Linked DNA regions of Caenorhabditis elegans. The protein of the gene in region 1 purifies or fractionates together with the protein of each later gene. This does not show direct contact. Each region holds a gene or a part of one and is shown on either strand. Other genes may lie near its edges.

Region 1 (4,692 bases):
CCCGTTTTGCACCCATTTTTGTGTATTCCGCTCGCGTCTTTTGTTTTTCTCTCTATCTCTCTCTCTCTCTCTAAATGTGTCACATTTTTGTGTGTTGCCCATCTTCTCCTTCTACGTTCGTTTTTTGTCTCTTGCCGCTCGCTGACCATAAACGCATTTTCTCTCTTCTTTTCGGTGTGTTTTCGGTGTAACTATGCTGAAAATATAATTTATTTTTGAAGTTTTAGCTTCTTAGGACTCAATATCTTTAAATTGGTTTAGAATGTTTTGTGATGACGTTGTCACAACCGAAAAATTTAATTAACAAGAATTATTGTTGTTGGAATTATTTTAACTTTCTAAAAATTCAGTTTTAATTGTTTTTGCCCATAAAACGCTGTTGAAAATTTTTTGCCAAATTAGAAAATTGCCAAAAATTGAAATTCTCCTCTAATTGCCCAACTCCCAAAATAAAACTTATCCCAAATTGGCAACTTGTCAAAATTTATACCTCATGCCAAATTGGCAGATGGCCAAAAATTAAAATTCTCGCCAAATTGGCGAATTGCCAAAAATTCAAATTCTTGCCTAATTGGCAAAGTGCAAAAAAAAGGAAATTCTTATCAACTTGGCACAATGCCAAAAATGGAAAGTCCGTCAATTTGGTAATATGGCAAAAATTCTAGATTCCACCAAATTGGCAGATTGCCAAAAAATGAAAATCCTAGCCAAATTGGCAATTTCAAATAATGAATAATTGCCAATTTGCCAGAAAAAAGAAATTCTTGCCAAAAATTACATTTCCGCCAATCCGGCAAAATGGCGAAAATTAAAATTCTTGACAAATTTGCAGATTGCAAAAAAAAGCTTACCTAATTGCCAAATTGGCACTATGCCAAAAAGGAAATTATTGCCAATTTGCCAAAAACTACATTTTTTGCCAATTTGGTAATATGATCAAAATATAAAACTCTTGCCAAATTGGCAAATTTTTTGGCAATTTGCCAATTTGGCGAGAATTTAAATTTTTTTTGCAATTTGCCAATTTGGCGAGAATTTCCTTTTTTGGCAAATTGGCAAGAATTTCCTTTTTTTTGGCAATTTGCCAATTTGGCGAGAATTTAAAATTTTTTTGCAATTTGCCAATTTGGCGAGAATTTCCTTTTTTGGCAAATTGGCAAGAATTTCCTTTTTTTTGGCAATTTGCCAATTTGGCGAGAATTTAACATTTTTTGCCAATTTGCCAATTTGGAAAAAATTTCCTTTTTTGGCAATTTGTCAGTTTGGCAAGAATTTTCATTTTGGTAAATTGGCAAGAATTTCCTTTTTTTGGCAATAATTTTCATTTTTCCCAATTTGGCATGAATTTTCTATATTTTTTTTGTAGTTTGCAAATTCGGCAAAAATTTCAATATTGACAATTTGCCAGTTTTACATGAACTTAAATTCCTGCCAAGTCGACAAAATGCCAAAAATACAACATTTTTTCCCGTTTTTCAAACTTTCCCCATCTAGATACTTTACTCCCATCTACCCCATTGTGTGTGTGTTCTCTGACGTCGACTGACCATAACTGATAACCGCCATTTTGACCTCAACGACGTTTCCTGTTCTTCGTTTTTTCCTCCTCCACCCCCGGCCAGTCAAAACTTGCTATCTAGCCTCCACCATCAGCAGCATCAGCCCATAAATATCGTGTTGTTCATGCAGTCTTTTTGTGGTGACTCTTCCTAATACCATAATCGATATATTTATATCGACGCTGTAAATCTTTGTTTTCACCTTATCTCGGCAAGATCGATGAATATAGTCATTGTCTACGTGACTTTTACAATCTATAATTGACCTGGAAAGGGGCGGGGTAGCGTCTGAGATTACGTCACTTTGCGTGACATTAGAGGGTATATAAGAACAATTATTTTGCGTTTTTTAAAGATTTTTCTTTTATTTTTTTTTAGTTTAAAACTGTATATTCTCTTTTCAAATTACTATTCCAAAACTATACTCCCAATTTCCAGAATGAGCGCCCCAATCAACAAAGTCCTCATCGCCGACGACATCGAGCAGGAGTGTGTCGACATTCTGAAGCAGAACGGAATCGAGGTGACCGTGAAGACGAAGCAGACGAAGGACGAGCTTCTCGTCACCTTGCCACAGCACGACGCCGTCATTGTTCGCAGCGCCACGAAGATCACCGCCGAGCTGTTGGCTGCATCAGCTGGGAAGCTGAAGCTTGTTGGAAGAGCCGGGACTGGAGTTGACAATATCGATGTGCCAGCCGCATCGGCGAACAAGATTCTCGTGATGAATACACCACGTGAGTTGGGAGGGTTATTTGACGAATGGGGTTTAGGTTTGAAAGTTCTAAAGTCACATGGCTGGGGAATTCCCCAAACGCACGTGTCTCATTTCGGTTTGATCTACGTAGATCTACAAAAAATGAGGAAGAAGTGACGCAGAGTTCTCAACTGATTTCGCTTTGGGCAAAAAATTCCCGCATTTTTTGTAGATCAAACCGTAATGGGACAGCCTGACACTACGTGTAAACGCATGACTTCAAAAACAGGCCGACCTAGGCGAAGGACGGGCCTATTCTAAAAAATGGATGGCTTTAACAGAATTTTTCAACAGAACTTTACCGGTTTATATTTCAAATTTTATTTTTCCAGAAGCCAACTCCCGTTCTGCCGCCGAGCTCACGTGCACACTCATTCTCTCCCTCTCCCGCCACGTTCCACAAGCCGCCGCATCGATGAAGGCCGGCAAATGGGCCCGCAAGGATTTCATGGGAGAGGAGGTCTACGGACGCACCCTAGCCGTTCTCGGCCTCGGACGAATTGGATCTGAGGTGGCCGTCAGGCTTCAGGCCTTTGGAATGAAGGTTATTGGATTTGATCCAATGGTCACGAAGGAGCAGGCTGAGGCGAAGAACATTGAGCTGCTCTCGTTGGAGCAGATTTGGCCACAGGCCGATTATATTACGGTCCACGTACCGCTGATCAAGCAGACTGAGAATTTGATCAATAAAGAGAGTAAGTTAAGCATTTTTAAAAGTATTTTATTTAATCCAAAATTTATTTATCTAATCATTTTCCAGCCCTCGCGAAATGCAAAAAAGGAGTCCGTATCATCAACGTGGCGCGTGGAGGAATTGTGAACGAGGTCGACCTGGTGGAATCCCTGAACGCTGGACACGCCAAGGGAGCAGCATTCGACGTGTTTGAGCAAGAACCACCAACGTTCAGAGAGCTCATCGATCATCCACTCGTCATTGCGACACCACATCTCGGAGCATCAACGATTGACGCGCAGCTCCGTGTCGCATCGGAAATCGCCGATAACATTGTGCAGTACAATAAGGGAACTATGCTCGGAGTTTTGAACGCACGAGAGGTGCTCAACTAATTTATTTGTGTGTTTATTTGAATTTTCGCCCATATTTTCTGTTTATACGAGATCATTTTACATTTTTACAATACATTTTTTGTGAGTTTAAGTCGTTTTCGCATACAACCATTTTTTTTCAGTTTTATTCATAAAAATACATAAGAAAATCGATAAAAAACCAACAAAAAAAAAATTATCCTCCTCGAGACCACCACCATTCTGAAATAAAAAGAGTCTAGTAAATTTCAGGTGTTACTGGAAAATTACCAAAAAAGTACGGAATCAGATTAGTAGAGGCATGCAATTAGAAGAAGTGAGAACATTGACAGGAGTGATAGGTGTGCGGATGGTGACGTTGTTGCTAGAACATACAAGTTATATTATGCAGACTACAAACTACAAACTATAACTACAAACTATAATTGCAACGTAAGTACTAATGTAAATGCATTGCAAAGCATTATTCAAACATTACGCTAGAATACAACAATTACTACAATTCAACTAGCACATGCTTTTTTGATAGGATATACAGTTATGCTACAAACTACACATACTACAAACTACACTACAAATACTATAAACTACAATCTCGAGGCTACAAACTACAATACCAACTACCAATGCATGGTAGTATTAAAAAAAAAAGTCAAATGCGTAAAACTGCAATTTATATACTACGTACAATGTATATACTATAGTTTGCAAATTTTTAAAGCTAGAAACTACATAATGCATACTATAAACTACAAACTACAAACTAGAACTAAAAGTGATGCAACATTCGTTGCAAGCCCAGTAAAATATACGCATGCATCTCAAAAATATGGTTCACTTACTTCCTGGCGTAGTTGTTGTCACTGTTGGAGCAGCCGGAGCAGCCGTTGATGGTGCTATAACAGTATAAACCACAAACTACAATATATCAACTACAAGCTATAAAATTTCTAATGTATTTCAATGGACGAGTCAATTCATTATTCAAAAATTAAGCTGAAACTGCAATTCAAGTAGCACATATTTATGTGATAGAAGATATACAGCTATGTTACAAACTACACTAAAAATACTACAAACTACAATATAGAAACTACAAACTACAATACCAATTTTATAAACTGAATACATGCATAGTAGTATCTATAAAAGTCGATTGCGTATAATTGATATACTATGATATACTATGTACACACTACAGTTTGCAAATATACAATTTAAAGCTACGAACTACATTATGCATACTATAAACTATAAACTACAAACTACAAACTAGAAACTACAAGTGATGCAACATTCGTTGCAAGACCAGTAAAATATACGCATGCA
Region 2 (6,399 bases), on another chromosome or scaffold:
CCAATCAAATGTGACGATGATACCCGTCTAACAGAAGAAGATGAAGACATTGAAAACGAGGCAATGAACAATGCCACCTTCGTCAAAGATTCGTTCAATTCTGCCACTATTGTGTTGGACGATTCGCAACCGTCTCCTTCCAACTCAACATTCGTGATCGGTGCAGCTCCAACGTCGGAAGCAGACGGTGTTCCTCCCATCAAGCGAAAGAGTCGTCGAACGGATCTTGGACCGCTCTAAATTCCAAGTTTTGTGTGTGAAAAATATTTAACACACCAATGCCTCCTCCTGTCAACTAATGATTAATTAACTTTTACTGTGAATAATAGTATTCGGGTACTAAATTGTGTCGTTTGACCCCCCATTCTGTCTTAAATAGATGATTTTAAATTAAGTAAACCTATTAGGCATTTTTCTTATCCATTTTTTCTCAAAATGCTTCAATAAAATTGAAAGTTTACACACTTTAATGTCTTCGTTTGGTTTTGCGTACAGCTTTTAGAACGTTCAGTAATTTATTGGGGAAATAAATTGAAAAATTAATTATCACAATAGAAGAAGACTACAATATATCGGAATGCAAATAGATTTATAAACATTTTTTGATTCTTATTCAAGACAAAAATTTTTATTTTCTTGGAATCAGTCCAAATTGCTGTGGTCTCAAAAGTGTAGCGACGACATCCTTCTCGAGTTGATCCATCTCAGAAATCACACTTTCCAGATCATTCTGCGTTTTTCCCGGAGCAGTGATGAGTTCAATATAGTACTTGATTTTTGGCTCAGTACCAGATGCTCGGAGAGTAGTGACACTTCCAGTTTTAAGGAAGAAAGTCACCATTTCCGAGGAAGTCGAGAGTGGAAGAACGGGCTTATTGTCGGGCTTTGAGTTGTCGTATCCGATCGTCAAGTCTCTCACGGATGCCACTTCGGCTTCTCCGATTTTCGTCGGGAACTTCAGATCGGCTCTCAATGTGCTGAAGAGCTTCTTGGTGACCTCCGGAGCCGGTACCATCCAATAAGTGGATCTGACCAAATGGAAGCCATATCGATTGTAGAGAGCGTACAGCTGGTCTTGCAACGATTTTCCCTCCGCGTGAAGGAAAGCGGCGATTTCGGCGAAAACTGCGGCAGCGGACACGCCGTCCTTGTCCATGGTATGCCCTGGCATGTATCCGATCGATTCTTCCCACGCCAGAATGACCTGATTTCCATCGGCACGGAGCTCCTCGGCTCGATTTCCCATCCATTTGAATCCGGTCAGGGTGGTCTCGTTTTTGAAGCCTGAATTTTATAGTTTTTTTTTGTTAATTGTAATTTTAATATTTTATATTCTAAACAGGGCTGCTGCTTTTTTTTTGGCAAAAATTACTTAAAATTCTTCAAAAATGTTGATTTTTAGTCGGTAGAACGAAAAAAATTCGAATTTTTTTTTCAACTAAAATCGAAAAACGAAAGTTTTTCTTTCGATTCTCGATTTTTAAAAAAAGTTTTAAAAGAAAATTGTAGGTTTCTTTATGTAGTTTTTCATCAAAATTTACAAAACTTGGATAAAAATTCGAATATTATTGTTAATTTTCTGATTTTTAAAAAATATAATTAGATTTTCCGGAAAATCGAAAATTTTCGTTTTTCAATGTTTTTCAAAAAAAAAACTCGGCTTCTTTTTCGTATTTATCAAAATCTTGCAAGATTGTTTTTAAAAATTAGGAAAAAACTAAAACCATGCGGCGAAATTGCGAAATGGCGTGCCGCGGACACGCAATTCCGCGGTACGCGGTTTTGCAACATTGCCGCACGGTTTAATTTCAGCATTTTTTTGAAAAAATTGTATCTTTTTCATCAAAAAGCAAATTTTTCTCTTTCGAAATTAAATTTCACCTTCTGCATCAGCAATTGTCTTGACAATTTGTGAGGACACAGCACTATTCAGAATGTATACTTTTGATGCATCAGCATTCGGATTCGCTTTTCTCCAGTTTGTCCAAATCCACCAAGTGATGAGAGCGCCCATCTCATTACCAGTGAACACACGCCATTCGCCGCTGAAAATTGAATTTTTTTGAAAATAAAATTTTTTAAAATATATATTTTGGAAATTCAAAAAACTTACTCTTTCTGCTTCTCGGCCATTTGAATTCTGTCGGCGTCTGGATCGTTGGCTAAAATAACTGTCGATCCATTTTTATCGGCAGTTTCCATCGCCAGCGTGAGCACTTTTCGTCCTTCTTCTGGATTTGGGAATGGAATTGTTGGAAAATCTGGGTTTGGATCTTGTTGCTCGGCCACCGAAATGAACGATGAAGCTGGGAATCCAAATTCGGCGAACATTCGTTTTGTGTAGTGATAGCCGATTCCATGGAACGCGGAATACGTGAATTTCAGCGGAGTTGAGCCATTGATTTCTCTGAAAATATTATTGGATTTACCTTTTTTTAAACGATTTTTTAAAATTTCTACAAACCTAGTGAAGTTCAACGATTTCTCAACTTCAAAATACGGGTCAATTACAACATCAGCTGAATGGAAAAGTGGCGAAGATTTGAGTTCACTCAAGTCCCAGTACTCATCTCTCGGCTGTGGCTCGGCCTCTTTGATTCTAACAATTTCCGTGTCATGTGGTCCAATGATCTGCAAAAAAAACCTTTTCTTTTTTAATCTTAAAAAGAATTAAATCTTAAATATTGATCTATTTACCTGAGCTCCATTGCTCCAGTACGCCTTATATCCATTGTCTTCCTTTGGATTATGTGATGCAGTAATAATAAGTCCAGCATCACATCCCAGCTTAATCGTTGCCCACGAGACAACAGGAGTTGGAGAGACTTCAGAGAAAAGATAAACTGGAATATTGTTACGAACAAAGACGTTCGCCGAGAGCTCTGCGAAACGTCGACTGTTGTAACGTCCATCAAATCCGATGGCGACTCCGTTCTTCGGTTGTCCATAGACGTTCAGCATGTGTCGAGCGAATCCGTGCGTGATTTGGATGATTGTAAGATCGTTGAGGCGTCCAAATCCAGCTTGCATTGGAGAACGGACACCTGGAAAAAATACGTTTATATTTTGAGCTGTACTTTTGAATCTCTACTGTTCTCCTGTTAATATCACCCAGCTTCTTCAGAGTGTAGACAGTGGAGAGACGCAGAGATGTGGGGACCGTGTGATACGGGAACACAAATCTTTGAGAATGCGCATTGCGCAAAATATCTCGTAGCGAAAACTACAGTAATTCTTTAAACTAGTGTAGCGCTTGTGTAGATTTATGGGCTCACTTGGTGTCTGGCTGTCCCAATATAGCTTGATCTACAAAAAATGCGGGAATTTTTTACCAGAAAAATGTGGCGCCAGCACGCTCTTAACCATGCGAATTCGGCTAAGAACTCTGCGTCTCTTCTCCCGCATTTTTTGTAGATCAAAGCGAAATGGGACTTTCTGACTCCACGTGTGGGCTCGGTTTTCGAGAATAAATGTTTTTCGAATAGCGACAGATACAGATTGTTTCGAAAATTGACTACAGTAGCCATTAAAAGAATTATTGTAGCTTTCGCTATGAGATATTTTGCGCGTCAAATAAGTTGCGCAATATGCATTCCCGTAATAATGAAGATTCACACTCTGTAAATCTACACAATTTCGGGTCTTCCTCCCTTTGTCCCAATATAGCTGCGTTTCTTCCACCGTTTACACACTGCAGCTGTGTAATATTATTTTCTTCTCACCAGCAGTTCCAAAAACCAATCGAGTATCCATACGAGCTTTCAATGCATCAACGTTCTTCTCATCAACCAGCTTTTGAATTTCATTACGATTCTTATCATTCTTATCCCAAGCGAGCCAATCGGCAACTTGCTTGTCAAGCTTTGCACATCCAAGAGTCATTCTGAAAATTAGAAAGTGCTTAAATTTTGCAATAAAATTGTGGAAAAGACAACAAAAGTTTTAAAAAATCGAAATTTTGCAGATAAGGACACTAATACCACAATTATTCCGACATGTGTGGATGAGAAAAGGCCAGGTAAATGACCTTGCCGTTTCTCTATTTCTCTGCGAGTAACCCACTATCCCTAGATTTGGAAAAGAGATAAAATCAACAATAATTGATGGAGGTATTGTGGAAACTGTGAAAAAGACAGTATCGGGTTTCAGTAAATATTTAATTTTCGAATTTAGGTGAATGTTGAATGCAAAAAGAATTAACAAAAACGTCCAAAAAATATTTCTAGGCACAAAAACCGTTGAAAATTACATAAGTTAGATAAGTGGAATGTTTAATTCTTGCAGAAACCGATCAGCATGAAAAATCTGAAAATTAAACAGAAGATTGATAAAATACTTAAACATCAAAAAAAAATCGGTGATAATGTTCTCGGTTTTCAGTTTTCAGATGATGATAACAAATAATAATACACGCTTTGATAAGAAATCATTCGGAAAAAAAATGATCGGCGAGAAAAAATAGAGAAAAATATCGTTAGAAATAGGTTTTCTCGAGTTGTGATGGAAGACGTTCGGTAGTTTTCGATGAGATGAAGGCGCGAACTTCTTCAGGCGATGGAACGTAGTCGTCGACATTCATCTCACTCAGCTTTACCCATTGGTTCACGAAGAGTGCTGAAAATCAATTTTATTTCATTTTTGACTCTTTTTGATTTTTTCCCAACATTTCCAGGATCTCAGTGTTCCATCCAAGCTCGTCGACGAGATGACTGATCCCATGAGATTATATCGAAGCCTCCATGCTTTTCGATGATCCCCGAGCAGTGCCACCTTGATCAGATTGTAATCCGCCAGCTGAATCGGATTCTCGACACCGTCTTCTTCGAGAATCGCCGAACGAGCCACTTTGATGTTGTAGACGTGAACATCGCCTGATGCAACGGCTAATTGATGCGAATCCACCATCGATATCGGCGAGAATCTGAACATTTTAAATATTATAGTTAAAATAGCGGAAATTTTTTTTTGAAATTTTCAGACAAAAAATTGATAAAATAGCGGATTTTTCAAGAAAATTCGATTTTTTTTGAAATTTTTAGACAAAAATTATTAAAATAGCGAATTTTTCAAGAAAATTCCAATAATTTTTGGAATTTTCAGACAAAAAATTGATAAAACTGCGGACTTTTCCAGAAAATTCAATTTTTTTTGTTGGAATTTTTAGACAAAAAATTGTTAAAATAGCGGATTTTTCAAGAAAATTTTAAATATTTTTTGAATTTTGTTAAAATAGCGGAATTTTCAGAACATTTCAATTATTTTTAAAATTTTCAGGCAAAAAATTGATAAAATTGCGGATTTTTCAAGAAAATACGATTGTTTTTGAAATTTTTAGACACAAATCCGATAAATATCGGATTTTAGAAAATTCGATTATTTTTTGGAATTTCTAGACAAAAAATTATTCAAAGAGCGGATTTTTTAATACTGAAAAATCTGCTATTTTCAATGGAAAGGCAAGCGCGCTGTAATAATTATTCGGCTCCGAGGAGAGCGTGTTCTTCCTACTTCAAATCAGTAATCGGGCATGGTAGATCGAAGACTAATGAGTTGATTCGCTGCCATTTCCTCAATCCATCAATATTCTCATAGATCACAACTCGTTTCTTGTTCTCTGCCTTCTTCTCATCCGAACCAACAGCAATCAACGGGCGGTGCATACGAGAAAGTGACCATGTGACACATCCACATCGGGTATGAAACGCTTGAAGCTCGTGAATAAGATTCCATCGAGAAGCGTCCACAATATCCGGTGCTTCGTAGATTCTGACGGTTCCGAGAACGTTGCATGATGCCATCATGAGACCCAGATGGCGCGGGGAGAAGCAGATATCGGTGACGTCTGAACGATTATCGGAGATGATTGTTCTTCGGATCCATTGGGATTCTTTTTGCTCTGAGAGATACATAATGTTTTGGATTATATTTAGAGCGAATTATACTCACTCAGATCTTTCTCTGATCTCACAATTTGCTCCTCCCAAATTACAATCGTTCTGTCGTAGGAGCAGGTGCTGAAAATCAATCAATAAAGTATATTCGGGTGACAGTTTCTAGTTTCTTACGCAACAATCTGCCCAAATTCCGGATGAGCCCAAATAACGCGCCAAACTGCTCCACCATGACACTGAAATGAGGAAAATTATTTTATTTTCTGAAATTTCTTTTCTACCTTCCAGTGTGCAGATCTACGCCAATTTCCGTCTGGCTTTCGATCCCAAATCGCCATTGTCATATCGCTGGCACATGTTGCCATTCGTCGGCCATGAGGATCGAATGAAACCTGGAAATAAAAATCTTCAGTTTTTATCTAATTTTTCGAAATCAAGCCAACATACACAATGAATGAGATCTCTGTGAGCGCCGACGGTCTGAAAAGGTTTCACCGAGTCGTCTTCT

What was found.
Region 2: the proteins of phdh-1 (region 1) and pgm-2 fractionate together in Caenorhabditis elegans (co-fractionation; one large-scale study listed by BioGRID). This does not show direct contact.

Annotation. Positions count from the first base shown.
Region 1 is NC_003280.10:13,635,786-13,640,477, reverse strand, and holds phdh-1 (D-3-phosphoglycerate dehydrogenase), read left to right. Parts: upstream 1-1,997; 5' UTR 1,998-1,998; coding exon 1,999-2,296; intron 2,297-2,648; coding exon 2,649-3,011; intron 3,012-3,076; coding exon 3,077-3,384; 3' UTR 3,385-3,559; coding exon of another isoform or gene 3,560-3,585; 3' UTR 3,586-3,609; downstream 3,610-4,692. Other genes in the region: tag-10 (Protein TolB), read right to left, coding at 3,654-3,727, 4,206-4,259.
Region 2 is NC_003281.10:13,296,862-13,303,260, reverse strand, and holds pgm-2 (Phosphoglucomutase-2), read right to left. Parts: upstream 3,884-6,399; 5' UTR 3,883-3,883; coding exon 3,723-3,882; intron 3,045-3,722; coding exon 2,698-3,044; intron 2,632-2,697; coding exon 2,465-2,631; intron 2,408-2,464; coding exon 2,114-2,407; intron 2,046-2,113; coding exon 1,882-2,045; intron 1,285-1,881; coding exon 629-1,284; 3' UTR 501-628; downstream 1-500. Other genes in the region: Kinesin-like protein klp-19, read left to right, coding at 1-240; npp-18 (Nucleoporin SEH1), read right to left, coding at 4,475-4,614, 4,665-4,921, 5,509-5,896, 5,947-6,014, 6,066-6,127, 6,173-6,283, 6,339-6,399.